Alligator mississippiensis: one gene and its partners. The protein of the gene in region 1 purifies or fractionates together with the protein of each later gene. This does not show direct contact. Links are inferred from orthologs where the notes say so. Each region holds a gene or a part of one and is shown in the gene's direction. Other genes may lie near its edges.

What was found.
Region 2: the proteins of protein PML-like (region 1) and NDUFS1 purify together in Homo sapiens (affinity purification with mass spectrometry; 3 studies listed by BioGRID and IntAct, counting the BioPlex papers as one, with this or other methods). This does not show direct contact. The link is inferred for Alligator mississippiensis from reciprocal best matches to the Homo sapiens genes PML and NDUFS1.
Region 3: the proteins of protein PML-like (region 1) and ZMYM2 purify together in Homo sapiens (affinity purification with western blotting; 3 studies listed by BioGRID, with this or other methods). This does not show direct contact. The link is inferred for Alligator mississippiensis from reciprocal best matches to the Homo sapiens genes PML and ZMYM2.
Region 4: the proteins of protein PML-like (region 1) and ZFYVE9 purify together in Homo sapiens (affinity purification with western blotting; 3 studies listed by BioGRID and IntAct, with this or other methods). This does not show direct contact. The link is inferred for Alligator mississippiensis from reciprocal best matches to the Homo sapiens genes PML and ZFYVE9.

Annotation. Positions count from the first base shown.
Region 1 is NC_081834.1:42,410,667-42,418,632, forward strand, and holds the start of protein PML-like, read left to right. Parts: upstream 1-4,961; 5' UTR 4,962-5,087; coding exon 5,088-5,138; intron 5,139-6,766; coding exon 6,767-7,239; intron 7,240-7,966.
Region 2 is NC_081827.1:174,213,349-174,220,818, reverse strand, and holds the start of NDUFS1 (NADH-ubiquinone oxidoreductase 75 kDa subunit, mitochondrial), read left to right. Parts: upstream 1-4,468; 5' UTR 4,469-4,596; intron 4,597-4,827; exon of another isoform or gene 4,828-4,989; intron 4,990-5,047; exon of another isoform or gene 5,048-5,147; intron 5,148-6,463; 5' UTR 6,464-6,467; coding exon 6,468-6,531; intron 6,532-7,470. Other genes in the region: EEF1B2 (elongation factor 1-beta), read right to left, coding at 905-971, 1,576-1,702, 4,014-4,136, 4,232-4,311.
Region 3 is NC_081824.1:434,333,965-434,340,897, reverse strand, and holds the start of ZMYM2 (zinc finger MYM-type protein 2), read left to right. Parts: upstream 1-3,915; 5' UTR 3,916-3,949; coding exon 3,950-4,002; intron 4,003-6,933. UniProt on the Homo sapiens protein: Involved in the negative regulation of transcription.
Region 4 is NC_081828.1:8,895,680-8,903,251, forward strand, and holds the start of ZFYVE9 (zinc finger FYVE domain-containing protein 9), read left to right. Parts: upstream 1-4,566; 5' UTR 4,567-4,715; intron 4,716-7,572. UniProt on the Homo sapiens protein: Early endosomal protein that functions to recruit SMAD2/SMAD3 to intracellular membranes and to the TGF-beta receptor.

The DNA of each region.
Region 1 (7,966 bases):
CCAGACTCCATGCTGGAAAGTAGGGGGCAGGGAAGGGGGGGCTGGACGAGGGGGGACCCCTGCCAGGTCTCATCCCCTGCCTGCTTCCCCAGCCCCCCCCCCCCCAATGGCTGCCCTGCCTACCCCAGGTCCTGGTGCCCGCTGCCCCCCACTGCCCCACACTACATGGGTGGGCTCTGCTATGAGTCCCCTGACCTCCACCTGCTCTCCGAGCCCCCCCATGGCTGCCCCACCTGACCTAGCTCCAGCCCTTTAAGGAAAAAAACACCCCAGACTCACCAGCTCCTGCAGTGGTCTCGGGGCTTCTGGGGACTCATGCCGAGCCCCCCATGCAGCATGGGGCAGTGGTGGGCAGCGGGGATCGCCCCCTGCCCAGCAGCACCCAGAGTTGGGGCTTTTTTTTTTTTCCAAAGCCAAGAGCTGGGCTGGACGGGGCAGCCGTTGCCAGGCTGGGAGAGTGGGCCTGTGTGATTTGGTCAAATCGATTTGGGACGATGATTCGAATTACTGTCTCCTGAAATGGCTGAATCCAAAGCGAATATTAGCTGGTTTGCACCTAACTATTAGGTGCACAAATATGACTCACAAGATAAACCCAGGGATTTCAAATAGGAATCCAGAGTGTTAAAAGCATTCTGGTCTGTTGTGGTTTTTCCAAATCCTTTACAAGAGAAGAACTGCTCTAGTATTTTTCTGTAATCAAAAGCAGAGTGAATGTGAAGAGGTGACATTTTCTGGGTGTCACCTTAAATGTATCAAGGGATGCCTTGAGTCTAAAAAGTTTGAGAACCACTAGTTTAATAGTACTATTATGCTGTACCTAACCTAAGGGATCTGTCTCCCGCCTATAGGCCCTTTTCACTATTGCTGAATGGTCATGAGATGTTTTTAAAAGAAAAAGGAACATAACAGCATAATCAAGAAAAATCAAAATTATTTCATAGATTTCATAGACATTAAGGCTGGAAGGGACCTCGGAAGATCATTAAGTCCAGCCCCCTTCCCCAGGGGCAGGAAGTCAGCTGGGGTCATAGGATCCCAGCAAGATAAACTTCCAATTTTCTCTTGAAGGCGTTCAAAGTAGGTGCTTGAACCTCTGATGGCAGGCTGTTCCAGACCTTGGGGGCTCAGACAGTAAAGAAGTTTTTCCTTATGTCCAGTCTGAAACAGTCTTGCAGGAGTTTATAACCATTAGATCTTGTTATCCCTTGGGGCGCTCTGGTGAACAAACATCCCCCCAGATCCTGGTGGACACTGCTTATAAACTTATAGGTGGCCACCAGATTGCCCCTGAGCCTGTGCTTTTCCAGACTGAAGAGTCCCATAGCTCTCAGCCTGTCATCGTAAGGTCTGTGTGGCAGGGCACTGTGTGTGCCTGTCACTTCAAGGGCCTGGAGCTGGCAGCCACCAGGTGCCTGGTGAGGGCAGCCATTTTTGGAATCAGGGGCTGCCCATACAAGCAGGCAGTTCTGCTGTGAGAGGCCAGGCAACAACATCGCCTGGCCAGAGGGCTGCAGAGCTACAACTGGAGGTAAGGGAGGAGCTGTAGGGGATGGCTAGGAGTCTCCTGGTCCTGGGTATGATTTAAAACTGCACCCTGCTGGGAGTGGGTGGCCTGGTGGGGTTCCCAGTGGAGCGGGAGCCCCCAGGAAATGCCAGGCCAGTTACCACCCTGGTGAAAGGTGGGTTGGGGCACCTTAACCCCTAGCCCCCACAACCAGGTGAGTTACCCCTTGTTTTGGAGGGCCCAGAGGGTGGACCCTTGGAGAGAGGAAAGGGCCATTGACTCAGGACCTGTCTGAGTTTCCCCTGACTGTCCCATGCTGGGGCCAGGACCGGAAGGGTCAAAGGGCCAGGGGCCCACCCTGAGGGATGCCCAAGAGCTGAGGGCCTAGAGTCCCGACTGGCCTGGAGGTGGGCCAGGGCTAGATGAGCCGAAGGTCTCGGTGGGGGGGACCACACCCGAAGGGGAACCAGCTCAGGGAGCTGTGCTGCCCGGTATGATGGCAGAAGAGTCCGCCTGAAGGGGGGAATCCAGGTGGGTTCAGTAGTAGGGTTCTGGGGCCCAGTGGGGGGGCTGGTGATTAGAGGAACATCTAGATGCCATCTGCGAGGCTTGGGCTGCGGTGCAGGGGAGGAAAGGAGCTGCAGATAGTGCCCCCTGGCATCGGGGCAGTAAATGGGCAGCCTCCCGCTCAACTAACATCTACTAATTAATCAATTACCATCAAGGCGTGGGGGGTGAGAATGCGGGCGGTTGGCCCAAGAACAGGTGGGTGGGCCACAGAGATCGGCCCTGAGTAGGCCCCCTGTTACAGTCTGTTTTCCTGACCTCTGATCATGCATGTGGCTCTTCTCTGCACTCTCAAACTTCTCCACATCCTTTTTGAATTGTGGAACCCAAAACTGGACGCAGTACTCCAGCTGCGGCCTCACCAAGGCCCAGTTCAACGGGAGGATGACATCCTGGGATTTGCTTGAGAAGCATCTATGGATGCAAGCCAGTGTTTTGCTTGCTTTACTAGCCGCAGCATCACATTGAAGGCTCATGTTCATCTTGTGGTCAGTCATGACCCCCAAGTCCCTTTCATCCATAGTGCTAGCCAGCGCAGCACTGCTGAGCCTATAAGCATGCTGCAGGTTTTTCTTCCCAAGGTGGAGGACCTTGCATTTTTTGGTGTTAAACACCATCAGGTTCACATCTGCCCATTTCCTGAGCCTGTTGAGGTCAACCTGGATCACCCTCCTGTCCTCAGGTGTGGATGCTTTACCCCAGAGTTTGGTATCATCTGAGAACTTGGCCAGTCCACTTCTGACTCCAATGTCCACATCATTAATGAAGATGTTGAACAATGTGGGTCCAAGAACACAGTCTTGAGGGACCCCACTGGTCACAGGGCACCATGACTATTGACTTCTGTCAACCACCACCCTCTGGGTCCGACCACGGAGCCAGTTCTTCAGCCAGAGGATCATGGTGGACCCGAGACCGCAGTTGGCCAGTTTTGCCAAGAGATGATCGTGGGATACCAGATTGAAGGCTTTTTTAAAGTCAAGATATACAACATCAATCTCTTCTCCCTTGTCCAGGTGATAGGTCACCTGGTCATAAAAGGAAATGAGATTGGTCAAGCATGACCTACCTGCAACAAACCCATGCTGGCTATCCCTCAGGATGTTGCTGTCGGCCCGTCCATTAAGAATGGCCTCTTTGATAATCTTTTCTAAGACCTTCTCTGGGATAGAGGTCAGGCTGATGTAGTTTGCTGGATTCACTTTCCTCCCTTTCTTGAAGATAGGCACCACATTGGCCTTCCAATCGTCAGGTACTTCACCAGAGCACCAGGAGTTATTGAAGATCTGTGCCAGGGGCTGAGCTATGATGCTAGCCAGCTCCTTGAGTACCCTGAGGTGCAGATTGTCAGGGCCGGCTAACTTGAAGGTGTCCAGCCTCTCAAGGTGTTCCTTCACGAGATCAGCATTGATGGATTATCTATAAACCTCAACAGAAAAGAGGTCCTTGAGGTAGGCCTTGTCAATGTTAGACAGACAACAACATAAGAAACCTGAAGGTACTTGATGTAGGACAAGATTGGGAGGTTATATCTCATGATAGACGAGAATGGAGATACATCATCAAGGAGGCCAAAGTGCTATAAGTGCTGGTTGCCCTTCAAAGCAAGTAAGTAGGTGACAGAATGACTTATCCAACTGGATTGATAGACAGTCTGGGTCTGTCCTCTGCCTATACATGATGCTTCAAAGGAAGATAAAGCCTATCCTGATTATGCCTCATTGACTGTGCAATGGGTAGACATGTTCCTTAAAAGCATGGTGACCTGGCAGCAGAGCTCCCTCTTCCGATACATCCGCGCACAGCTCTATTGCCTCCCTGTCTCTTGGGCCCTCAGGTGAGGTGTAAAGTACCAGGTATATCATTTATGCGTGACTTGTACCCTGCTGTCCCTTATACCTGTGAGCACACAGTGGGCAGGGGCTGGCATTTTCCCCTCAATGGGTGTACCAGACTGGTGCTTAAGGCAACAATTTAACAGCGGCATTAGACAGATGGGCAAACTGTATGGGTCTTTGTCAAGCAGAGTCCTGGGGAGGGGCAGAGGTAACATTTGCAGTACTTCAGACTGTTTCATGGGGAACCCTGCATCACTGCTGTGGCAAATGGGGAATGGCTTGCCTAATTCTCTAGAGTCACTTAGCTGATGGGCTTGAACACCTGGCCCCTTCCAAGTCTTCACAGCCAAGCTCCTGGCAGCTACAAGACCATGGCAGGGTATGTTTGCCTTTTAAGTCACCCAGAATGTGGTGAGTTTGGGGCCAGAGAAGAGCTAGCAGGAGGGGATCCAGGATCCACAGAAATAAACAGGACCATGGAAACACTTTCCTGGGAGAGCAGATTGGAGAGGAGGGAGCTGGCCCCTAGCATCCAGCCCTGCCCTACTGCATCCTTCCTGTTGCACGAAGGGGCATTAGTTTATGCCGCCTACACAAGACCCCTCACCTCATGCCCTGTCAGAGACACGTCTGAAATGTTTTGCTGTTCCACCTTAGTAAAAACATCTCTTGGGGGTTATTGCAGTTGGGGAAATTGGGAACTGGCCAAGGATGTAGTAGAGTCTGCCCACACTTGGAGCTGTCTCTGTCACCAGCCCCCAAGGGGAGCTTGTTCTGCTTCTCTACCAGGAAGACTTTCTGCCAACAGGATCTGGAGCAGAATCAGAGCAACACATTGAGCCTCTGAATGAGCTGTTCAAGATAAACAGAGATCCAGGGCTGGTGCAGGCTTCCCTTGTGCCTTGAGAGGCCAGGAGGCAGAAGGAAAAATGTATGACAAGCTTTATGCCCAGGAGGGCTGGAAGATTTCAGACTATCCTCCCCTCCCCTGCCAGATGCATCACACATCAAAGCTGGGGTTGATCACCAGAGGGCAGGGCAGGAGCGCAGATTCTTCTCTCTGTCTGCCTGATACCCGGAAGCAAAGCTACTTTCATTTTTGAGGAAAGAAAACTGAGCTGCAACCAAGCTCAGAAAGCATCTGGGTGCCCCAGAGGAAACTGCGAGTGCAGATCATGGATGCCACGTCTCAGGAGCCTCCGGCTGACCAGGATTCCTCAGCCCCTGTAAGTTTGTCGCAGTGACCGGACCTTCTGCTAGAGGCTCTTGCTTGGGGTTAAGGATCAAGCTGGTAGATTAAATGTACAACAATGACGGAGGGGAAATAAGTGGTATATGAGGCTGAACAGCTCCTAGGACCTGGCTGCCTCATCTCCTTCTGTGGGTGGTGCTGTGGCTAGAGCATGTGCCATTACACTGGGGGTAGGGGATGTGGCAGGGCTGCCCCCTGGGCAGCAGAGATGGCTGTAGGAAGTGTGTGGGGGAAGCCAGTATGGAAGGGAGCAGGGAAGGCAGAGACAACCAGGTGGCAGGGAGGTAGTGACTGGGCAACAGCCCTGTGAACTCTCCAGCATGCAGATAGCAGCGCAGACTAGGAAATTGCCTCAATGATGCCCCAGGGCCCTTTTTGTGTCCCTTTTCAAATCTCTGTAGTTGAGAGGAGGGCTGCTTTGGGAGCTCGCGGGGCAGGGGGAGGAGGCAGGAGAACTTGGCCCCACTTCTGGTGACTGCCACAGACAGCCGATATGGCTCTGGGCAAGCCACTCGGTATATCTGGGCCTCTGTTCCCCTGGCAAACAATGGGACAAATGGTTCCCTACCTGATAGGGGCTCTGTAAAGATGAATCAATCAGTGTCCATGAGACATTCTTGGATGCGGTAGTAATGGGGGGATCTGTGGAAGTTCTTTAGGGAGGTGGCCTGAGGCTGGGTGCGATAGGGCTTTCAGCTCGGACTCACCCCTCAGAGCCCCTTGTGAGGAAAGAGGCAGTATGGTGCAGAGACAAAGAAAGGGGCCTGTGCACTATGGATGGGATGAAGACTGGGGACTGGCAGCTTGTTTGGGAAAGCTTGGGGGAGAAACAATGTGGTGAGCCTGTGGCGAGCGGCGAGGGAGAGGGAAAGTGTAGATGGCAGGGGTTCTGGGCATGTCTACACATGCATTTAGGCATGCCGAAATTTAACATTCATTAAGGTGATTTAGTCTCACTTTTACGCATGCATGTGTTACAGCGCATTAACTCCGTGTGTGCTTACTCATAGTTCCTCACTATTCATAGTAAAGTTAGTTCCAAGTCAGTCTGTGTGCAGTGTTAGTGTGCCTTAACACATCTACATGTGCATTAATGCACTTTAGCTATTCATGCCTAAATTTAATACCGGCTTTTGCACATATCAAACTTAGGCATGAATAGCCTAAAAATGCCATTTTTAAGGTGCATTGAGGGCCTGCACATGTAGATGTGCACTTTTAATCTGCCTTAAATTGGGCTAAAATGCTTTAAATCAGCATGTGTAGACATGCCCTGTGTCCTACACCCTCATGCTTGTGCCCAGCCAGTAGTCTGCTCCATCATGCTCTTTACATGCCTCTACCTCCCAAGCAGTGGTGGGAAGGACTAGCTACAGACTCTCACAACCAGGGTTTCCCTCAGCCACTGGACTCCCCAGTCAAGCTAGCTTTGGCTTGCTACATTGGGCCTTTCCAGATGTTTCTATTGCTTGGTATCCATCAAATGACCTTCTAGCAGCACTAGCAACACCTCTTTCTCCTTGCCCAATGGTCATCTCCCATTGGGATAATATCATAGTATGATTAATGCCAGGTATCTCTGTCCCTTTCTTCTCCCTAAAGGTGGTGGAGGAAGAGTTCCAGTTTCTGCTCTGTGATGGATGCCGGAATCAATCCAGAGAGCCCAAGCTCCTTTCCTGCCTTCACACCTTATGCATTGACTGTCTGGAAGAGAACAAGCCCATGGGCCAGTGCCCCATCTGCCAGGCTCCTATCTTGCAACCTAGTGAGATTCCAGACCAGGACAACGTACTGTATGCCAGGCTGCAGTCCCAGATGAAAACCTATCAAAAAATAGTCATGGGCATAGACTTAGGGTGTGGCAACTGCAAAACAGAGGGGGAGTTCTGGTGCTCAGACTGTGAGATGTTTATGTGTCTCACGTGCTTTAATTTCCATCAGAGGGTCCTGAAGAAGGAGAGCCATGAGGCCAGGAATGTGAAGGATCTTCAGGCCGGATCTCTCGCGGAGTTTCTTGAGGGTGCCCAGAAGCGCTATAACTTGTTCTGCGAAGTGCACGAGGCTCAGATTCTAAGGTAACATTCCCAACCTGGGATACTTTTTCTCCAGTCATATATGGCAGGAATAGTTGCAACATAGAATCATAGAAACAATGGACCAAAAGGGACCTGGAAGATCATCAAATCAGGTCCCCTGCCGTAGGCAGGAGGTTGAGCTCAAACTAGCTCAATGAGGTGCTTATCCAGCCTCCTCTTGAACACCTCCAAGGATGGCAACTGTACCACCTCTGCCAGGAGTGTGTTCCAGGTTCTAGTTACCCTGACAGAGAAGAAGTTCTTTCTTATGTCCAGTCTAAATCCTCCCTCTGTTAGTTTGTGTCCATTGGTCCTCATCCTCCCAAGGGTCTCATTCTAAAGAGTTCCTCCCCCAGATCTTGGTGCTCCCCCTTGATATACTTGTAGGTAGCTATCAAGTCACCTCTGAGCCTCCTTTTACTCAGACTGAACAAGCCTAGTTCCCAGAGTCTCTCCTCATATGGCCTATCCTCCAGGCCCCTGATCGTGAGGGTGGCCCTTCTCTGCACCCTCTCAAGATTATCCGCATCCTTCCTGAAGTGCGGTGCCCAAAACAGGGCACAGTACTCCAGCCTCGGTCTAACCAATGATGAGTAGAGAGGGAGAAGCACCCCTCTGGATCTGCTGGCAATGCACTGGCTGATGCACACTAAAGTTCTAGCGTTTGCCCTGCTGGCGACTTCATCACACTGTTGGCTCATATTCATCTTCCAGTAAATTGTGACCC
Region 2 (7,470 bases), on another chromosome or scaffold:
AAACAGAAATTTATAAAAAGTTGCAAAAGGAAATATTAAAAACATACAACAAATTCCTGTACTAAAGATACCTTTTGCCATCAAGCCAAACTTAAAAGAGATATAAGTTTTCATTTTGTAGGTTACATTCAGAGATCCTTTTCAGAGAAACTGAGAAAGGGAACACAATACGATGTAACAGTTTATTTTCCACAGATGGAATACTGCAACTGCTATGGTTCTGAACAGTTCCAGACCAGTAACTGTGGAATGCCGAATTTAAGAAGTAGATTGCCTAGTAAGAGGCTTAAATAGACCAGTGTTTTAGGCCCAAACTTTGTATGTCTATTTTTAAGGTAGGAACAACCCACCCGCCATCTTTGCTTTAACCTCAAAATGGACAAAGTGGGCAACTGAGCCTCTTAAAATTTCCTTGAGCAGACCAAGTCTGACCTTCTATAGCTAGGGTTACCATACAATTATTTTTTGGTCCTCTGTCCAGGCAGGTTTTTGAAATGCAAGTAAATGTCCAGGTTTTTGCTTTGCCTATGCTTTCCTGGCACTTCCAGCTTCACTGCCTAGGGCCGAGGGCAGGAGGGGAAGGTGACTCAAGTGCAGAGCACAATGCACTAGCCACAGGCCCCACATCTGCAGGCAGGTGAGACAGAGACAGCATACATCTGTGTCTGTGGACACCAGTAGGGGTGGGTGGCAAGAGGCTGTGGGATGGAAACGAGGGGCACCATCCCCCCCCCACAATCATATTCCACTGCCCCCCCGTCCTCTTTTTGAAACTGTAAATATGGTAACCATAACTATAGATGACAGTTCAAATATGATTTCTTAAGCTCCCTTAATTCAGTGCATACTGATGATCAAATCAAGTATACAAGAACAAGATACAAAGAGTCACTTGCAAACATACTTTTTGACTTCTTAGATTCATACTGAGCAAGACGCTCGTCCCTCAGTCTCTTTGCTTCTTCGCTTTCCTGCAAAAGGAAGCTAGATTTAGAACAAAGCACGGATAAAAAGGCATTCTTCACAATACTGTCAAAGTAGACTGGCTTAGTCAGAAAAAAACAAATCATCAGCAAGATCAGCCGAAAGATGGTGATTTGGTTTTATTCATCATGTGACCAGTCAGTTAAAACAGGCACCCCTACAAACTCACTAGAACTTTATCCTATTTAGATTTCACATTAGCTTAGCCTGTGCTTAAGCGGAAGCCGCATAAAAAAACCCCCAAAAACCAAACTACACACAAACCCGGGTCTCCTTCAGATACTTTACAGACTTCACTTGAACCATGCAAATTCTGTAAAGGAGTAGGTGCTTCCACTAGATTTAAACATGCATGTAGTACGTTCCTCATTAACATGTTCTGTCCCCACACCCATTCAGCAAGCAGTCAGTTCCACCAGAAGACTATTTTTAGAGAGCCTCTCCGATTCAAACAAATTATGACCTTTATAAGATGTTAAACAGACCAACAGAGCAAAGATAAACTAAAAAAAGAAATGCATCTATAACTGAATTTTGGTAGCTGGGAAAACAAAAACTCATAGCAAATAAATAAAATAAATGCTAGTACACCTCCTCGTCATCAGATCCAAAGAGATCGATGTCATCATCATCTTTGGTATCTGCAGCTGCACCAGCTGTGGTATCCTCAACATCAACAGGACCGTATTTCCCCAAAGCCTTCTTCACTCCTGGCAAACTAAGTAAGAGAGCAGAGTCTGTTAAAGATAACTGATTTAAAAAATGTATATATTTCAGTTTTACTGAGGTTTTGATTCTGTTGTAAACCTCCAGTAAATATTTCTTGTCCTAACAATGAAACTCAAACCTTAATTATGTCACTATTTCAGAAGTGAAGCACCAGATTCCAATCCACAAGTGTACCCACAGTAAAGCATGCTGCTTAGACGAATATGGTGAATTTAATGTGCATAGAAAGCTAAACCTCTCATGCATACAGCAACTCTTGCTCCTGGTAATTGGATTTCCTAGAGTACACCACATAAGAGCAGCAACCAAAAGCTTCAGAACACAACCCTGTACCAAGAGGAGTTCTGCAAATTTTACTGTGCTGTTCCAAGTGCAGAAGTGATGGGATATATTACAGAAAAAAATGTAACCACCATCAAATCAAATTTAAGAATTAAAATGTTTTACATTAAATTGAAGCACATTAAGCACTGCCACTCCCCACTGAAATATTTTCAAGGAAATGCTTCATTATTGAAAATTAAGCCTCAGTGGGAATGGTAATATCAAAAGTTTTATCACAATGTCAAATCCTTGGGTTTTACTGACAGGTTGGTTCTAACTATGAGGTAGTTTCCCAATACTACCCCACACAACCATAAGCCTATAATGTAAATAAGGATAAACTAAAATGCCTGAGGAACCAAGGAGAACCTAACAGGAACTAAATATTCCTGAAACCCAAACACAGTTCAAATAGCTCCATCTACTGCTAGAAAACCTAGAATGCAACTTTACATTGCCTGTTCATTCTAGTACCTTTTGAACTATGATTTAATTCCTGCTTTAGTCTTTCTAGATGTAGCCACTAACACCATAAGAGCATAGTTTTGTCTTATGCTTTCATTTACAGTATTGTGGGGTTTGCTTTAGGGATTTATTTATTTTTTTTAATCAGACTGTTAGGCATTAGAAAAGCCAATGACAAAGCACTCTCCTTCTGAGCGGCTAGAAGAAATTACAGTACATTACGTTCTTTACAGATCTTGTGAACTGGATTTTACAATTTCACCCCAACCCACATACTAACAAATTATTAAATAGTATTACAGGCTGTAACATCAAGAAAAGCCTAGGACAGAATGGATAAGAGACCAAGCCATCCATCTCTACAACAGGTCTTGGTGAGGCAATGTGGAAATGGCACGTACTAACACTGCCTATGCTGTACCTTTTCTAGGGAGGACTTCAGTCTCCATGGCTGTCAATACGGCACTTTTCATGACCACTAAATTCACTAAAAAAAGAAGAGAACACATTTGCTTTCATTTCCCTCAAGAACAGTGTCCTTACTGGTCACTTGTCTGATTTAACCCTTCAGGGAGAATAGTCCAATATGAGGTTTTCCTAAGAGCCATTGTAATTATTGTGCTCCTGGCTCAGGTGGCTTTGAGACCAAGCTATAAAAGCCACTAGCGAGCAGCTATTGTACGTGCATGATTTTCAAATGGAAACACAAAAGGACTCAGTTGCATTGGATTAACCTGGTTAAAATCCAGCCCACCTTGGTATAACCTTTAAACCATTATTTGCAGTGTATATAGAAGGTCATGCTGCTCAAGGCATGAGCGGCCACAAAGCCCGTCTTCCAGTGCTGGGGTTTCAGCCGAGCCCCTGAACGCCGCATGTGCAATAAGGGTAGACCTAGAAGTGCAGAATCCCAGGGCCAGCGTTGCCAGGTGTATAATTATCATATCTATGATAATTTCATACCCTTGTACAATGTGAGATCAATAATACTAGCAGAAGTGTTCAAAATGTGCAATAATTTTTGAGGCTGCTAACTAATGCAGCATATGCAAAGCCCAAATCACTCTTGAGGACTTTTGAGCTTGCTGTCAGTACCTTCTTTTGACTGCTTGCCTCAAAATAAAGAAGTCTTTCAACTTTGGTGACCCAGTTCTCATTCACTCACTGGCAATTTACAGCAAATAAGATGTATTTGCGTATTGATTTGCCTACTTTTTCAGCATACAATATAGTTTTTCAGTAAGCACAACAACGTTGAGCTTCCAATAAGATAATTTCCTATTTAAGACTTGGTGACGCTGTCCAGGGCAGAAGCAAGCCATCTTGGCCAGGCCACCCCAGTGCCCGCACCCTACCTGCTCCACAGCAGCAGCGAAGCTGGCACCTTTCAAAGACAACACACAGGCTCAACATTTAAGGCAACCCCCCCCCCCAAAATAAAACAACCCACGCCTTTTGCGCGGGGGGGGGGGGCTGCTCCCAGAGAAGCAGTGAGTGGAGGCAGATCCTACCTGGCCTTTTGCTTCTCGTAGGACTGGATGTGGTTGTACCAGCGCAGCGCGTGGCACAGGTCGGCGGGCGGCGGCGCAGACACGGCCTCGAACACGGCGACGTCGGCCTGGGACGGCCCGAACCTAAGGGGACGCGCGGTCAGAGCGGCCCCGCACGGCGCAGGCGCGGAGGCCCGACCCCGCGGGCCGGTTACACTCCCCCCCTCAGCAGCGCTCACCCCTCAATGTAGCTCCTATCCGCCAGGAAGTCATTGAGCATATGGAGGCCTGCAGCGGTCTTGAGGTCCCCGAAACCCATGATGGCAACAGCAGGCCAAACTCCGACAGCACCCACTGCGCAAAGAGGGCGCCGTCTCCTCACGCCCCCCTTATATAGGCGCCGGCGGAAGGTTCCTTTTCCATTTAGTTTCGTCACTATAGTGTCCTTCCGCGGAGAAATAGTGCCTTCGTCTTCCGCTCCGCTCAGAGCAGGGAGAGGGCATTACCGGACACGAACATAAGAAAACAGGAGCAGAAGGAAAGGTTTCAACTCTGGAGCGTGCTCGGCCGGCTCCACTGAGGGGACAGGGATTTTCAAAAACAGGTTGCAAGGAAGTGACGGAAAATGCCGAGCGCGGGTTCCGGAAATTGCCGAGGGCTGGCGGAGGGTGGGAGGGGGCGGAAGCTTCCGAAGCCGCGTGTTCCCGGGGGGGGGGGTGTCGGACACTGCCGAACCCGCCTCTTCTGGGGAGGGACGGAAACTGCCGAGCCGCCGCCGGAAGGGGACGGGAATGGCTGAGGCTGCGCGTCCCGGGAAGTAACGGAAACTGCCGAGGCCGGCGCTGGGGGGGCGGAAATTGCCGAGGCGGTGTCCGGGGAGGGACGGAAACAGCCGAGCCGCCGCCATCCAGGCCCTGCGAGCTGGAGTTGCCGCAGTGGTCGTAAGTGCTGCGCCGCGCCGCGCGGCCGCTACTCCGTCGCCCCTCAGCGGCACGAGGTACCGGGCGGGGCCGCGGCCGCGGTGGGGGGCCGAGCCGGGCCGGGCCCTCCTCCTGCGCCCCGGCCGCTCCGTGCCCTTGACAGCCGGAGGGGAGCGTCCTTGCGGCGGCCAGTGATGGCAACAGCTTTTCCTTAAGTCTGAATTTACTGTGAACAGTGTGTATATCTATATCTGTATCTATATATAGATATAGATATTTTTACTCAATAAGTGTAGTAATGGAAAACGAACACAATGAGAAGTCAGCCCCCCAGTGGTTTGTTTTGGGGGGGGGGCGGCGTGACAGGGCAGTGCTGCTGTAGGAGGGTTTGGATGTTGTAGCGGTGAGGGGGCCCTTCTGTGACCTCCTCTCGCACCGTTTCTCAACGCGTGGGTCGCGACCCAAAGCAGGGGCGCAAGAATATATAAAATGGTTGTGAACAAGCTTTAAAAATGGATCGGTCAATTTTAAAAATGGATTTTCCTTTAAAGGAGAAGGACGTGGGAAACTGGCTTTTCCCCTGCCGGCTGGCAGAGCTGCAGCCTGTGAGGGGCTGCTTGGCATAAACACTGGGGGCGGGGGGCAGCAGGCCAGGAGTGAGGGGCATCAGGACTGGCCACTGAGGTTAACAAATGGGTCCTGGTGCAAAAAAGGCTGAGAACCGCTGTCTCATTTAACTGGCTGTATTGTTAGGGCAGAAGTTGGGCCAGCTTCAGATCTAGAAAAGAAGGTCTGTACCCTCCCCTCAGTCTTCAGGTGGTCTCTGTGCTCTTTGGGGCACAGACAGAAGTGACAGTTTTTGCCTGATTTGGCCCCAGAAAGCGCTCTACAGCCATAACCAAATGGAAGTGCACAGCTGCAGATCACTTTAAAAGGACCCACGACAGTCTGAACCCTCACTGCATGAGGGGTGAGGGTCAGATGAACCCTGTTGCATGAGGGTTCAAATGAACATGCTCCAAATCAGAGTATGTTGTATAACTTGTGTCTGTAAAGCTTCCAGCCTGTCCCTGTTTTCAGAATGGGAGGGGGGAGAGGGAGCAGAGGGAGTCTGGTCTGGGTTTTTTTCAGCAGGCATTTTGGGATGGGGTGGGTGGATTGGAGCTGGGAAACCTGAGTTCCCTCTGCTCCCTTCTCTTTCTTCCTCCCTCTTCCCCCCCCCCTTCTGAAAACAGCCTCCAGGCGGGGAGGGGGGAGTGGCATTGCTACAGAAGCTGGGCTGCAGGTCTGCAGCACACAACTGGAGTCCCAACTCCTGGGTCCAGGACACAACAGTAAATTTCTCTTGGGTCCGGAGGATCCTTGCAACTCAAAGTGCTTCCTTGCAAAGCACTATGAGTTGCAGTGGGGAGCTGCTCTTTTGCCTTTACCCTAGAAATGTAGTCAAAGCTTAGTAGAGAGCTGTTGGATGTACAGTGGGGATCTACAGAAATGTTAGTGTTTTCTAACTGCAGAAATTTGTGGCACTAATTGCTCTCTTGTATTTCCCAGCACCATGCTGCGACTACCTGCTGTCCGCAGGGCCCTAGCTGGTGTCACTCAGTCCAGCAGAGGATGTGGTGAGTTGGCCTTTATTTTATACATTTACGTACATTGATGCACTGTGTTTAAAGAAAGCACTGAATGTTTCGACTGTTATATTATGTGTAGAGGGGCTTCATATGCATCACTGAGTTTTAGAGAATGATCTTCTAGCTGAGGCTGTTTCAGATCATTCCAGTTGTTTAACTATGAATTATTTTTGTTTCTGATAATCCTTTAAGCTCTTCATGCTTTGATTTCAGTCTTCCTGGAGGACAGAATTTCATAGTGTTCAATCCAACACTCCATTTGTTTTTGTTTATCAGTGATGACATTTCCGTCCAAGTCTTACAGTGGATCTGTTTTCTTCTTGACTGGACCAATTGCTTGCTTGATGCTTTCGTACGTTTTGTGGCTATCGCCTGCGTCAACTGCTTTCTGAATATGATCAGTGCTTCAGCCAAAAATCTGGGGCACACAGTTTAGCCTCTTTTTGCATTTCTCCTGGAGCCTTTCTCAAAGTTTCCAGGGTTATGGTTTGGGAGATGACTTGCAGATGGTTAGTGCTGTCCTTTTGTTTCCAACCAGTGATAGAAGCGTTTCAGAGTGCTCTTAAAACTAGTCTGCATTTTACCTAGCATTTCCTCCCTTCCTCCCCCCCCCCCCCCCCCCAAATGCTGTTATAGCAGCATTGTACATGTTAGTTTTTAAGTTTCCACAAGCCTTGGTGGATGAGTTGTTAGGTAAACTTGTTTTCACAACTTCTTCATTGAATAGTTTGCATCTTTAGTTTGGCTGATTATCAATCTGAGGATGACTTGCTACAGTGGATCTTTTTAGCATTGATTCTGACTTAACATTGACCATACCTTAGTCTGCTGCTATAGTCAGTGATGTGTTAAGACCTTGCATGCAGATTTCTTAGGTGGTTGTGCCTGGTTAGTACTAGATCTAGTTGGTGCCAGTGGGCAGTGATC
Region 3 (6,933 bases), on another chromosome or scaffold:
GGCCAGGCCTGAGGGGCCTCCTGTGCCTTCTCAGAGGAAGGCAGTGCTCCTCTGTATGGCCCAGGCCTGGTGTGCTCCTCAGATGGTAGACTTGGAATGAGGCCAGTAGCCAAAGCTAGGATCCAGTGCGCAGGGAGGAGGTACACTGCAGGGCATACTGCTTAGCGCCACCTCCGAGGGCTGTTGCTCCATGGCCTTGGTGGGTTGTGTGGCCCATGGGCTGGGAATAGAAGCAGAGGCCTGGGCTCTTGCCCAAAAGTGCGGGCCACTGGTGCAGGATGCTGCTTAGCAGGGTGCAAGCACTGGAAAGCAGGGGACTGATATTTGCTGCCTCCCTTGGACAGGGGAGGAGTGGGTGATGGGGCAGAGAGCGAGTGGCCCCAGGGCCTGAGGGCAGCAGGGTCTCAAAGAAGCAGGCCTGGAGCCTGTGGCCCCTGGGGGGAGGAAGCAGCCACCCAAGGGGGAGTACATATCTTCCATTTTGGCAGAAGCTGGGAGCAGAGCAGAGGGTTCTGCCCACCAACCACCCTGCAACCCTGCCAGCTACCCTGTGCTGCCCCAGCAGAGCAGGGGCCACCTCAAGTGGGTGCCTTCCTGCACCCTGCGTTGGCTTGAAGGAGCCCACGGTCCCCACAGCAGCGTCTGACAAAATGGAGGACGTCACCACTGCCACCAGCAGCAGCGCGTCCAGGAGCCCTGCCGACATGACGCCCTTAGCGGCCCCATCGCGGCTAGGGCAGCAGGGAGCCATGCCCGGGGCGGCGCACGGAGCCCTGCCCTGGGGCGCAGGGAGCTGCGCGCTCCGCCCTGCGGGAGCGGGGCTGGGCTCCAGGTCTCCCGCGGCCCTCCTGGAAATGGCCCCAGGTTTGCAGCCCGGCGGGGCGGGGCCGGGCCGGGCCGGGCCGGGCCGGGCCGACGGGCTGCAGTACCCGGGCCGGGCCGGGCCGGGCCTGCCCCAGCGCGGGCACTTGCCCCGAGGGAGCGGGCACCCGGCTGGGCTGCGCGAAGGGCTCCCGGCCCTGGCTCCGGGCAGCGCCGCGTCGCTGCCGCAGCAGCTGTGCCGGGAGCGGAGCGGCGCCCCCGCCTGGCCCCGGGCAGCAAGAGCCGCGAGCGCCGAGACTCGGGTTTCTCGAGCCAGCTGAATGGCTCGGAGTGGGAAGAGCTGTGGGCGGGGCCCGGGGGAAGACGGGCGGCGGCGCGGCCCAACCAGCTGCCGGCGTCGCTGACGGGCGGCCCACTCGCCCAATCGACGCGCTGAGCGCCGCAGCCCGCCCCGCGTGGCGGCCAATGGGGGCGGCCGTGGCCGAGCTCGCTTGGCCCGGGTCGTCCTCCTCCCCCAGCGCCAGCAGCTGCGCTTAGCCCGGGACTGGAGCGAGTTAGAGTTGAGGCGCCGGAGGAGTCGCGCCGAGCGCGTGCGGCCGGGGGGGCTGCGCTGGCGGCGGCCGGGTAAGGCGGGGCCGCGCTCGGGGGGACCTGGCGGCGCCGAGCTGCCCCGGGTGGGGACGGGCGCCGCCGCCTGCCCTCGCCTCGCGGCTCCCGGGCGGAGCGGACCGAGAGCCCGCTGCGTCGTCGCTGCTGGGGCGGGCGCGGGCGGCCGAGGGGGCGCGGGCGGGTGGAGCGCTCCCCGCGGCCCCGCTGTGACTGTGCCCGCGCCCCGGAGCCCCCGGCCGGCGCTGCGCCCCGCGGACCCGTCGCTGCCCTCCCGTATTGTTCGCTGGTGCCGCTAATGGCGGCGGGGAGCGGCAGTGCCGCTGGCCGACTGCAGGGGGAGGCCGCGGCCGGGGGCAGCTGCTGCGGAGGCTGCGCGCCCCGGGGCGGAGGACGGAGCGAGTCCGCGCTGGCGCCGCGGGGAGGGGCCGGGGCCGGGGCCGGGGCGGCAGGTGACGGGAGCCGCCCGCGGGGCGGTGGGGGGCGCCGGCTGCCCCCGCGGCTCCAGCCCGGCGTGGCGCAGCCCCATTGTGCGGCTGATCTCGCACGGCCCGGGGAGGGGCCTCAGGCGGGGGTCGGGGCTCCCGGCGCAGCCGCCGCTGCCCCTGGGCGAAGCCGCGTCCGCGGCCGGGGCGGCTCCTTCTCCCGCTGCCGCGGGCGTCGCTGTTGCGCTCCGCGGCCCGGGCGGGGGCAGGTCTCGGCTGCCCTCTGCGGCCGGGACTGGGAGCGCGCCCTGGGCGCCCGGACCGGGCCCGCGGCTTCGTTGCCCCTGTGGCGGCCCCGGCGGGCGGGGGAGCCGAGATCCGCAGCAGTCCCCTGGCTGGCGGCGCGGCGCGGAGCGGGTCCCGGCGGGCGGGCGCGCGCGCGGCCTTTGTGTGCGGCTGCCCGCGGCTCTGCTCGAGCGACTGCGCTGCTGCCGCCGGGCCCGGCCCGGCCTCTCCCAGGGCCGGCTGCCTTCTGGAGCCGGGGCCGCGGGCTGTCCCCGCACCTGGCGCGGGAGAGCCCGGCCGCAGACAGGCAGCGCGGCCCCTGCGCGCTCCGCGGAAGGGTGATTCCCGCACAAAGCCGCGGGGGGAAGTGAGAGGAAGGCCGCGTCTGTAAACACAATGTCGTCGGCGGGCGGTCGGCTGCGGCCGCGGGGCCGGCTTTCCCCTCTAGAGGCCGCTGCTCCGGAAGGCCCCGAAATACCGGGTTAGCAGCAACAGGGCAGGACAGACGTGCAGCTCAGTTTCTGGGTTGTGGTGGGAGTGCGAATCCTGAGAGAGCCTGGATGCTTGCAGCTTATGTTTGATTCCTCTTACTCGCCCCTGAAGCAGGGAGGCTGTTTTGAATGAGCAGGATGATCATTTCTTGGACTTCCATAGATGCATTGGTGACTCCCTCAGTGCCCCACTGCCCCATTCGTCTGAATTTGGTGGGATAACTGATCACTTGGAAGCGCCACACAGCCAGGGCCCCAAGACCCTTATAGTGTTTTCTTCATATGAACATGTAGAGAAAAAGCAAACCTGAAACTCACTTAAAGCACTACAATGGAGTGTCAGAAGACATTTCTTTCTGGAAAGTGCTTTCTTGTTTCCACCCCCTCTTTACCCTCCAACAGTAGAAATTTGTTAAACCTCCTGTAAATTAGCCTTAGCTCCCTTTGACTTCAGATACAGGCAGTCCTCGACTTGCAACGTTTGGAGTTGCAATGTTTTGCACTTACAACATTTATAAATTGACACCCTGTTTCAACTTTCACCCTGTTTCAGAGAACTAACTGTCCACAATCATTCTAAGATCTTTCTTGAGTAACAACAATTAGTATGGAGCCCATCATAGTGTATATAGATCACATGAAGTCCCTGGTCTTATCAGCTGTAATATCTTGGGTTACTTTTTCCAAACTTTCTTCATTTTGTACTTAACACTATTGACCTCTCTCTGCCATTACTACCTACAGAATTCTGTGGGGGTCTTTAATGCTTATGCAGAACAGATCTTTTGTTTCAGGTTTTCTTCCAGAAGTCCTGTCTACCTCAAATAGTAGAAAAATTATACCTAAAATAACTTTGAAGAGTTGTGGCAAAGCTTTTTGAATGTTGAAAAAAAACTTCTTGGACTTCCCTCAGTGCCCCACTGCCCCATTTGTCTGGATTTGGGGCCCTGACTGTGTGGAGCTTCCAAGTGATCAGTTATCCCACCAAGATACGTTACAGCCACTCATACAGTTCTTAGTCGTGATGAAGGAGCAGTTTCCACGTAATGCATTTTCCTGTAGAACTCAAATTCTGTTTTTGTTTATACCTGGAGGTACAGGACAAGGCTCCCCTTCCTGCTTTCATCATGGTTTCCCATGTAATGGTTTTGTATAGGCTTTTTCTACAGTGCTTATTGGTGTAACATCAACAGTTGGAAGTAACATAACGGCAAGTTAGAAGGTTCTGCTTGCCCAAAGGAGGTGCTTTGGAGGAGTGAATAAATGTGAGATTTTTTTCCCTCTTATTAGGATGATGAAAAGGCTGATCAAGTCTGTTACATGCCAGGGCTAATAAATTCTGGCAGTCCTGCATGGCTGCATAATAGAAAACAGTAAGTTTATGCAACATTTCCTCTGCATGCAAATATAGAGAAAAAACAAACTTCTCAAACTATCCTGGTGGTTTTCAACCTTTTTTGTACTAGGGGTCATTTGTAAACATCAATGGCCAGTTCCAACACAGTGCCCCTCACTCCTGACCCACTGCCTCCAGGCCTCAGCCCCCCAATATGTGGGGAGGGGGCGGGCAGGCAAGCAGTCCCTTGAAGGCTGGAGCTCTGCCAGCCTGCAAGGGAAATGCCATGGTTTCCCAAATTTTTCTCCTATAAAAGAGAATCCATTTTTAAAGTTTGTTGATCTGTTTTTAAAGTTTGTTCACAGCCCTTTCATATATTCTTGTGACCCAATTCTGGGTTGTGTCCCACAGGTTGAGAAATGCTGGTTTAAAGGACAAGGATGGAGTGCAAATATCTTTCTGCAAATTGTTTCCCCCCATGGTAGTAATCTGTTAAACCTCCTGTAAATTAGCCATAACATAATTCTCTCTGACTTCAGATATTTGATCCTTTTCTGCTATTACTTTTTCTTTGTAATAAAGTGTGTAGCAAGTATACAAGCATAATAATGAAAAAGGAAAAGTAGAGGTCTCTTATTTATATCTTCTGCAAACTGAGATTATGCAGGCATGTATGAAAGTTTGTAGAACCCAAGTTCTATTTGACTTCTTTTCTAATTATTGGTAGATTTTGCTGATTTTTGCCTTATCCAGAACTACCATTTTTAATGTTATATTCTATGTTATCTCAAGAGCCTCATGTACCCTAGATTTCAATACTCTGCACAGTACATCTTATGATGTGTGATAATCAGTTGACACATTAAATGACAGAGGTAGAAGGGAAAATTTTGCTAAGAACCGTGCAGCAAAAAAGGAAACATAAATATAAGAACTGCCATACTGGGCCAGTCCCATCTAGCCCAACATCCACAGTGGCCAAAAGGGAGAGTATTCATGCAGACTCATCTGTCCCATTTCCCTCTTCCTATTTACAGAAGATTCCTAGGAAAACATAGGAATGGTTGTAGTGATATCAAGTATAATACTCGCTGATAGGCCTACCATGCATTAATTTTTCCAGTTCTCTTGAACCTGGTTAGATTATCAGTCTTTACAGCATTTATGGCAATAAGTTAATTATACAGTTCAGGAAAATAACGAAGGGTGCACCAATAAAGGTTTTCTTGTCTGATACTGAAGCTGGTTATTAACCAACCATATCGGCCGATAGGAATCTGATGATAACTGATATTTATCACCATTTCTAAGTGTGGGGACTCTGATGCAGGAGACACAACAGAGCCGTTCTAATTAAAGTGCCACCCCCCCAAAGCACATGTAAAAGTGCCAATGGCAGTTGTAGCCCCAGGCTCCCCACCATGGGAAAGACCCTGCTACACACTGGTGGGAGAGGGAGTGGCTGCCCTAGCCCCTGCCAGCCTTTTCCCCCAGCAAGACTCCCAGGCACTGTGGGCTGAGTCGGGCTGAGCCAGGCTGGGCAGCTCAGCTCCACTCACCTCTCCCTGCCCCAGTCATGTTTGCAGCATTTGGTACTTTTTACAGTGCCTGCCCTGGTCCCAGTCCACACCATGCCAGCACCCTGGACATAACAGCAGCTGGTCCACTTCAGCCTGGCCTGGCCTGCCAGTGAGGGGAGAGGGTGTATCTGGGGTCACGCTGGCTCATGGGGGGGAACCCAGGCATTTGGGGGCCCTAGCTCTGCAGGCGAGAAGGAACTTGGGCATTAAGGGGACCCAGCCAGAAGGGATAAATATTGGAGAACACTGACAGCTACAACAGCCAATAAAGCAGATAGCCAATAATGTAAATTTCCCATTTGTTGGTGACGATCCAGTAGGCAACCAATATATTGGTGCGCCTCTAAAAATAACTTATTTTTGTTTAGTTTAAACCTGCTTCCTAATTTCATTGCGTGTCTCCAAGTTGTGGGTTTGTTGAAGATGGTAAATACTTGCTTTCTCCAGGCCTTTTATTTTGTAGATCTCTGTCGTATTCCCCTATCACCCATCTCTTTCTCCAGACTAAATCGGGTAGGAAGTTTCAATATCTCCTGGTGTGGCAGCCTCTCTATACCCTTTATCATTCTTTTTGCCTTTCTGCATACCTTTGGGTTCTACTGTATCCTTTTGGAGGTAGGGTTAGGGGGGGACCTGAACTCCTCCACTGTGGATATACCATTTATATGATGGCATTATGAGATTTTTCCATTCTGTTTTCAGTACAGTTCTGAATAATTGCTAACATTCTTTTTACCTTTTTAACTATTGTTGATTATTTTTAGAGAATTATCCACAATCACTGTAAGATCTTTCTTGAGTATCAGCAACTGATATATAGAGTGTTTGCTTCATTTTGTATGTACTACTATTGACCTCCCTCTGCCATTGCTACTTACAGTGTTCTGTGGGGTCTTTAATGGTTATTCAAAATAACTTTTGTTTTAGGTTTTCTTTCAGATGTCCTGTCTACCCCAAATGGTAGTAAACTCTACCTAAAGTAACTTTGAAGGTTAGTAGCTTTGCGTTGATTCATACCTGCCGGACCAACATTGAAGCTCTTTCAAGCTGGAGGAAGCAAGTGGGGTTTTCAGCTCAGTATTAAGCATAGGGAGTCTTATTGAGTGGTAACACTCTCCTTCCCCCCTGCTTTACAGCTCATAAAAGCAGCTGTTTACAGTTTGTTTTAGTATAAAACCTAAATTCTACTGAGTGGTTTAGTCTAGCCTTTCTGTAGCTTGTTATTTGCAATGGAGACTACGTTGCCCTTGAATTCTTTTCTTTAATTTTGGTAGCTTATCTTCCTTACTTCCTCTTATTCCTTTCCATAGCTCAGAAACAGTGATGGCACAGAATAAAGTTTGCCATGCACTCATTTTCTATGGGGCTAGCATTTGACAGGTGTTTCA
Region 4 (7,572 bases), on another chromosome or scaffold:
ATCGAAGTGTGGCCTATCAACATTTACTGGCAATCACTTCTGCTTTAATTAGAAGATTTTTAATGATGCCTGAATCAGGATATTTTGTTCAGGGATCTCTGGAAAGCCTACAAGTCACAGAGACTATTCTTTTTTCACAGCAACTCCAGAAAAAGCCATTGTGAGTCCATCTTCACACCAGTTACAAATTTTAAATAAATTCCTTGAGACCTACAACTATCCACCTAAGGGAGAAGAAAAAGGGGACACTATCAAGCCGTTTTAATAGTTTTATCAATCTTTTAGGTCCTGTCTACACTTCTGCAAATCTGCCTTTTGGATGATCAGCACATGAGTAACATGCACGTAGTGGCAGACTAAACATTTTTGCCTAAGTGTTTTTTGCTCAGCATCATACAGGAACACTATGGCAGAGGGTGGGGTAAAATCCAGTTCTTCAGAGTGGTACTCACTGGGTTCCTCAAGGCAGGATTATCTTTTATTTGTCTGCAGCTGCTTGTCTTATTCCTTACATACCTTCCTTTCTGCCTTTTGCAGTTAATAGTGCAGGGTTCCTACAGAAAATGTCCTCATTCATTCCTTGGACATCCAACATGCTGTGTATTTAATGAGGTAGGAGGTCTGCGGAAAAATAAGTGATCCGGCAATTATAGGCTGTATCATAATACACACGTGCACACAGACAAAGGGCCATTCTGTATTGCTTAACTTCAGAGTATAATTGCACTTCGCATTAACTTTGCAATTTCTTGTAACATAATCTTTTATATGTTAATGCATATATTTCAAAATAAGCACACTTGGAAAAATAAACCTTGCCATATAGAATCATATTGATCCCCAGTGACAGTCATAAGCAAGTTATGGACCTTTAGAACCACAGCACAGACATTTACTGCTTAAGCTAATGGAGTGACTGATAGTGGTACTCTGAGACATACCCATTGCTATAGGATTTTACAGTTAGTTATCTGATGACAGCAAAGGAATATTGAGATGGAGGAATTGGGTCAATTCCAGATTCTAGAGGGGCTGTAGACACTGCTGCCTCCTCCACTGCTTCTGCCCTCAGGTTGTAGTCTTACTCCTTTTTGCTTTTATCTTCTCCTGCATCCAGGTCTCTATCTCTCCGGGACCCTAGCTTCTCCCCTCTCTCTCCTCCAAATTCCACTTCCACTGTTCATAGATTATAAAGCCAAAAAGAATGGTGTAATCTTCTAGTCTGACCTGGACAACACGGGCTGTACGACATCTTTAAATCAATTCCTTTTGCACTAGAGCACATCTTTTAGAAAAACATAATACCTTGGTTTTAAAATGTCCAAATGGAAATCCAGCAAAACCCTTGGCAAATTATTCCAATGGGTAACTGCTTTCAGTATTAAAAATTGTGCTGTCTTTTGAATCTGAATATAATTTCAGCTTCCAGGCATTGGATTGTTCCGGTTAGACTGAAAAGTCTTCTATTATTAATTTTTTTTTCTTCCTGAATGTAGGTACATAGAGATGGTGAGCAAGTCATCACTTCACCTTTTATGAACAAAATGGCCTAAGCTCCTTGACCTGTCTTCTAAGGCATATTTTTCCAATCAGCACTATGATCTTTATTAATCAAATTTATACCTCATAAAAAAAATCTGTTATCCATAAATGCATCTTGGCATTAATTTAAATCCTTTACTGAACAAATCCCATCTCAGCTCTTATCATCATTTTGCCCAGGATTTGTCAGGCTAACATGCTATTTACCCTAGCCAAATGCTGGCACACTACTAGCCTTTGTGCAGTGCTGTTGGACTTCCACAATATCCTAAGGGTTTGTAAAAATCAACATGAATTATCTGGAGAGCTCCTCAAACTTTTGAACACAAGTTATCTGGAATGACTGATTTAACAATGTTTCACCATAGCACCTGCTGCTTAACCTATACTTCAGTTACTGCTGGACTGGAAAGTATTTCATCATTCTCTGATATTATATGAATATATCATTTGGCTTTTTCCCAGCTATGAAACAGAAATATTTATTGAACACTTCTGCCTTTTTAGCTTCAGTATGGACAATTCCACCATTTTCATCTAGTAATGGGCCAGTAACATTATCAGGGTTCCTTTTCTTCCTAATACCCTTAAAATGTTTTTCTCATTGTCTTTATTTCTGTTTCATAGACGGTAAGGGGCCGGAAGGGACCTCGGAAGATCATCGGGTCCAGCCCACTGCACCAGACAGGAAGGACAACCTGTTGGCCATACATTTTTTTTCCTTGTATTTCTTTTATTCCATTCTAAATATTCTACAGTTCCTAGCTCCTGATTTATATGCATGGCTATCAGCATCCTTTCTTTTGACCATTCATTTGGAATATATAGTTCTATTGGTCCTTCCCCCTCCCCCTCAGCTGTCCTCCCACCAGATCATCACTTCCCTTGACTCTTCTAGCCACTATTTCCCCCCTCTCCATTTCACCAATTATCTAGCTTTTGCAATCTCTTCTTTCTATGCCTTCTCACCACCATTCTGGCCACTGTCCCCCTCTCCTTTTCCTTATTATCTGGGCATCACTGAAATGTGAAGTTCCAGTGCCTGGCACTACAGATGCCCAGAGCAGCAATTGCAGAAAAGTCCTGTTGGCTTTTGAAGATGGCATGCTCAGTTGCTTTGCGGAGATGGCCCATGTGAAGTCTAGGCGCATGTAGGTGCCGTGAGGGGGATGCTCACTATAGGTGGAATCCCCCTTGAGTACTTTTCACGGGAACAGTAAAAGGCACATCCCTGAAAGCAGAGTGAGCAGTTGAATTATAAATTAAATAGTGGGGAGGGGGTGCTTTAAATGTATTAGTTGTAATGTGTTCACTCTTTCCCCTTTACAAACAGCAAGATATTGGCCTAGATAGAGCACCTATCTAAAAGACAAGTGAGCTCTGTCCTTTCCCCCTCACTATTTGAGGGGATCTGAAACATTTCTGAAGGGTGTACGTCTAAAGTCCACCTGTTTTATCTGTCATCTCAATAAGTTATTTGTGAAAGTCCTGGGAAAAGTTTGTAGGACACCTAGCCGGCTCGTTTTGATTCCGACCGGGAGAGGGCAGCGGTGTGCACGGATGGATATTTATATGTACAAGCACTGAAGTCATGGAGTGAAGAAAATAACACATTGTAAAATTCAGAGCAAAGATAAGCCAACTGCAGACAAATATATAAAAGAGAGAGAGAGAAAAGCACATTCCTCCACAGGCATGTTACTGACTGCCTACAGCCAGGAACAGAGAGGTATTTTGTTTGTGGCGTGTGTATTTCCTTGGCTTTCTCCTCATAAATAAATGATTGTTGGGACTCTACAGTAAGTGAATAATAATGGTTTTGTGTGCCTGACAGTTTGCTACTCCACTATTTGTGAGAATGTTTGTATAGGAAATCTAAGTGTCGGCAGTGCTGGATGTACGTCGCTCTGCACCGCTGTGTCTGCATGATAGGCACATGGCAGTGCGCGTGTGTGTGTGTGTCTGACCGCATTTCTATGTACAGGCAGTCACGTATCCCTCATGGATGGTAGTATGACTCTTCATATGTGCATGTGAGATGCGTGTGCCCTTGTGCTTGTGATTTGTAGGTGTAAATAGGATGGTCTCCTACAACGCCACTTTGTGTGCGTGAAGTCACGGTTGTCTCCGAGTTGCGTGTCCCTTTTCTCTCTATGCGTGGCTGCGCGCTCATGTGTGGGTGACTGCGTAACTCTGACTACGGTGTCACATTTGTGCATGTCGCCTCCGCGTCTGTCGTTGCTCCTGTCTGTGTTTCCTGCGTCCGGCCGGGGGAGATCTTTGTGCAGTGTTTGGTTGTGTCTTTCTGTGTAAGGTGTGTGTGTGTGTGTGGCTACGGTTGTCTCTCTGGTGCCTACTGTGGTGTGTGTGTGCGGGGGAAGAGGTGTGTTTAGCTGTGTGTCTCCCCCGTGTGTGTGTGTGTGTGGGTGGGAGGGGTATGTGTGTGTGTGGTTGTCTCCCTGAGGAATCATCCCGGGTGTGTGTGTGCAGGGTTGCAGGGGGTCTCCCTCTGCGTCTGTTGGTCTGAGGGGCCTCCCTGTGAGGCGGCATGTGGAGGGTTGTCTGTGTGTGTGTGTGTGTGTGTGTGTGTGTGTGTGTGTGTGTGTGTGGGGGGGAGAGGAGGGTCTCCCCGTCTGTGTGCGGGGCTGTGGGGGGGTGTGTGGTGGGGGGATGTGGTTGTCTCCCTGAGGAATCTCCCTCGGTGTGTGTGTGTGTGTGGGTGTCTGCAAATGTGGTGGTGGTGGGTTGTGGGGTCTCTGAGGGCTGTCCCTGGATGTGTGCTGCGCCGTGCGGTTGTGTGTGTGTGTGGGGGGGGGGGATGTCCCGCGGGGGCGGGGGCCGTGTGCGCGTGCGGGCGGGGGCGTGGGGGGTGTCCCCGGACCGGCGGAGCGGAGCGGAGCAGCTCGGGGCGGGTCGGCGCGCGAGGCCCGGTGCCCCGTGGGGCGGGGGCGGGGGCGGGGCGGTGCCGCAGTGGCGCGCGGTGCCGCTGGGGCCGGGCAGGGGGCGCTGCTGCCGTGAGGCCGGGCCGGGCCGGGCCGCGCCGCGCCGCGCGGGGAGCGAGGAGCGGAGCGGAGCGGAGCGAGGCGGAGGCGGCGGCCTCTGTATGGCGGCGGCGCGGAGCGGGCCCGGGGCTCCCAGCCATGCGCGCCCGGCGGCGCCTGCCGCCTCGCCAGGTGAGTGCCGCCCCGGCCCGCAGGCCGCTCCTCAGGCCCCGGTTGCTGCTCGGCCGCTCGGGGAGGCTGCCGGGGCCGGGGCCGGGGCCGGGGCCGGGCGGGGGGCAGGTGCGAGGCGAGGCGGCGCGTCCCCCGGGCCGCCCTTCAGCCTCCCCGCTTGCCGCCTCAGCCTGGCGGTCCGGCCGCCGCGGTCCCGAGGGCGCATCCTGCCCCCAGCCCGGCGCCGACTGGAGGTTTGCAAAGTGTCTTTGTTGGTTGGACATGGTTGTTGTTTTGTATTTATTTATGATTATTTCCGTGGTTTGATGAGAGGAATTGACCCTCCCCTCCGCTCCCCTCCACGTGCCTGCACCTCTGGGCAGTGTTTAGTCCTCATGAATCTGCCTCGGAGGGTTTGGACCAGGCTGCGTCCACTCGCAGACCGGCGGGGTCCGACCCGGGTCCGTCCGCAGGCTTCGTCTGGCACCGCCGGGGCCGGATCCGGCCGTGCCCCGGTCCACCTGGACGGGCAAGGGCAGGGCGGCCCCCTCGGGACACATTAGGCGGGGGAACAGTGCAATCTGGTGCAATCTGGACGTGCGAGGGGAAACACCCCCGTTATAGGCTAACTCGGGGGCAGGCAATTATTTTGGGTAGAGGGCCACTTACTGAGTTTGGCAAGCCATCGAGGGCCTCATGACAGGCAGCCGGGGGCAGATAAATATTAATTTTCTAAATTTTTTAGGGCTGGCTAGAATGGCCTGGCGGGCTGCATCCGACCCGCACGGGGCTAACTCGGGGAGAGCCGGACCCTGAGCTTTAGTGAGCTGGAGCTGGGGTCCATCGGATGCTGTGAGAGCCAGAGGTGTTTTGTCCAGGTATTGGATCCAAAACAGGAAGGGAGAGGAGAGGCGGAGGGCGTAGGAGGAGCTATCCTGAGGGCTGTGAGGGATTTATGGACCAGAAAGTGCTTCAAGAAGACCTAAACCCTGATTTATTTGTATTAGTTATTTATTTTTAATGATATGGAATGATCATAGGGTTTTAGGCATTCCTGATGGGTACTTCGGTGACGACAACCCAGTGTAACCATGAAAACCTGGAACTGAATATAAATATTTACAGTTGTGGTTCAAGTGTGGCTGGAAACTCGTGAGCATAGCCATCTTTATGACGTGTTGGGCCAAGAGTTGGGGGAAACATAGGAACACGTTTGGATATTTTGGGGTGAAACAAGAATGGCGCCTGCAACTTGATGTTCTCCAGTCCAGAGCTGGACCTGGATTCAAGCTCCTGCTCAGTCCTCTCCCCCATGCAGACCTGCTCAGTCACCTGCTGTGAGTAGAGCGTGCCTGGCTCTAGCTTTAGACAAGTCGTCTTCAGTACATTACAAAAAACAGTTGCTAATATTTGGCCTTTATTGGTGTGCTTTAGATTATAGCCGGCCATTAGGTCAGGAGAGAAATGCTTCTGAAAATCCAGGTTCCAGGGATCAAGATCAGGTTAAGAATTAAATTAAATAAGTTTGCTTTTAATTTGGCACAAGTGGTAGTCTGTGCCAGAGGGAATAGGGGTGTGTTGGGGGGTGGGGGAACAAGGGCAGAGGCTGAAGAACCTCTACTTTGGAAATGTTGTTTGGCCTGAACGGGGTAGGAGGAGAGAGATGCACTACTGTAATGTGGCCTGAGAATAGGATACCAGTTTCTGTTGCTGCATGTCCCTGAATTGTATCAGTATTAGCAGAGGGTAAACAGTTATGTTTTTACATTATATATTTTTGAATGATCCATAAGTTTTTATATAAGTGCAAATCTTACGTAAAATATTGAAACAGTGAGAGATTCCTTGACTAAATAACAGAGCCAAATGCTGTACATATTTATGAGTTCACTTCATTATTTTCAAATGTTAAGAGAATCAAAGTAATGGCATGATTGGCACAATCAAGGTAAATGAATGTTACTAACTCCAAAGTGTTACATTTCCAACAAGTGGAATTATGCTATTATAGTAAGTTGATTTATTAAAATGGATATTTTTAAAATTATAATTTTCAGTGTTTATTTTTGTTTCCTGTTGCTTTTACCCATGCTTCAGAAAATGAAAATTGACTAATCACTTCTGCTCTTATTTTTAGTCAGCGTAATATTCTGGTTTTAAATGCTCCCTACCACTGTTAATTTGGTTTGGTTTGTAAACACTGAGGGAATGCATCAAGCTTTCTATGTTGGATTTTAATTTAAAAAGGTTTTGTAACATTAAGAGGCTATGGGATTTGAAATCAGGGGAGCTGGGTTCTACTTCTGGCTTTATCAAAGATTTCCTGTGTGACCTTGGGCAAGTCATTTAATGATTTTGTGCTCCAGATTTTTTAGTCTGTAGAAAATGAATAATAAACCCCCTCACGAGTGTTGTGACATTCAGTTCATTTTGGTTTGTGGTCTGAAATCCTCTGGGGAGAAGAACTGTAGAAAATAATTTATTATAACTACTGATCCTGTGTGTTGGGCCAAATCTGGTTTAGCAATGTATTTTTAAAAGCAGCACCTTTTCATGTGTTGTTTCACTTCATTGAAACCAAACACAAGCAACAACATTAGATTCTGAGATTTTTATTTAAATATGATTTTTAGGATCCTTCATCTCTAGATTTTGAAGGTGCCATTACACCTTAATGAGTGTAATTATTTTTTTTATTGGTATTCAGTGTACAGAAGCAGATGCACAAAGACATTAAATCTTTACAGTAATTTATAGTTAAGATTTATGTATTTGTCCCACTGTAGATTTAGAATTATTTTCTCTCCCAATGAAAAAATTTAATATTCTTTTTAGAGTATAGCCCTGGAGTATTACCAAAAAAAGGAAAAAAAGAAAA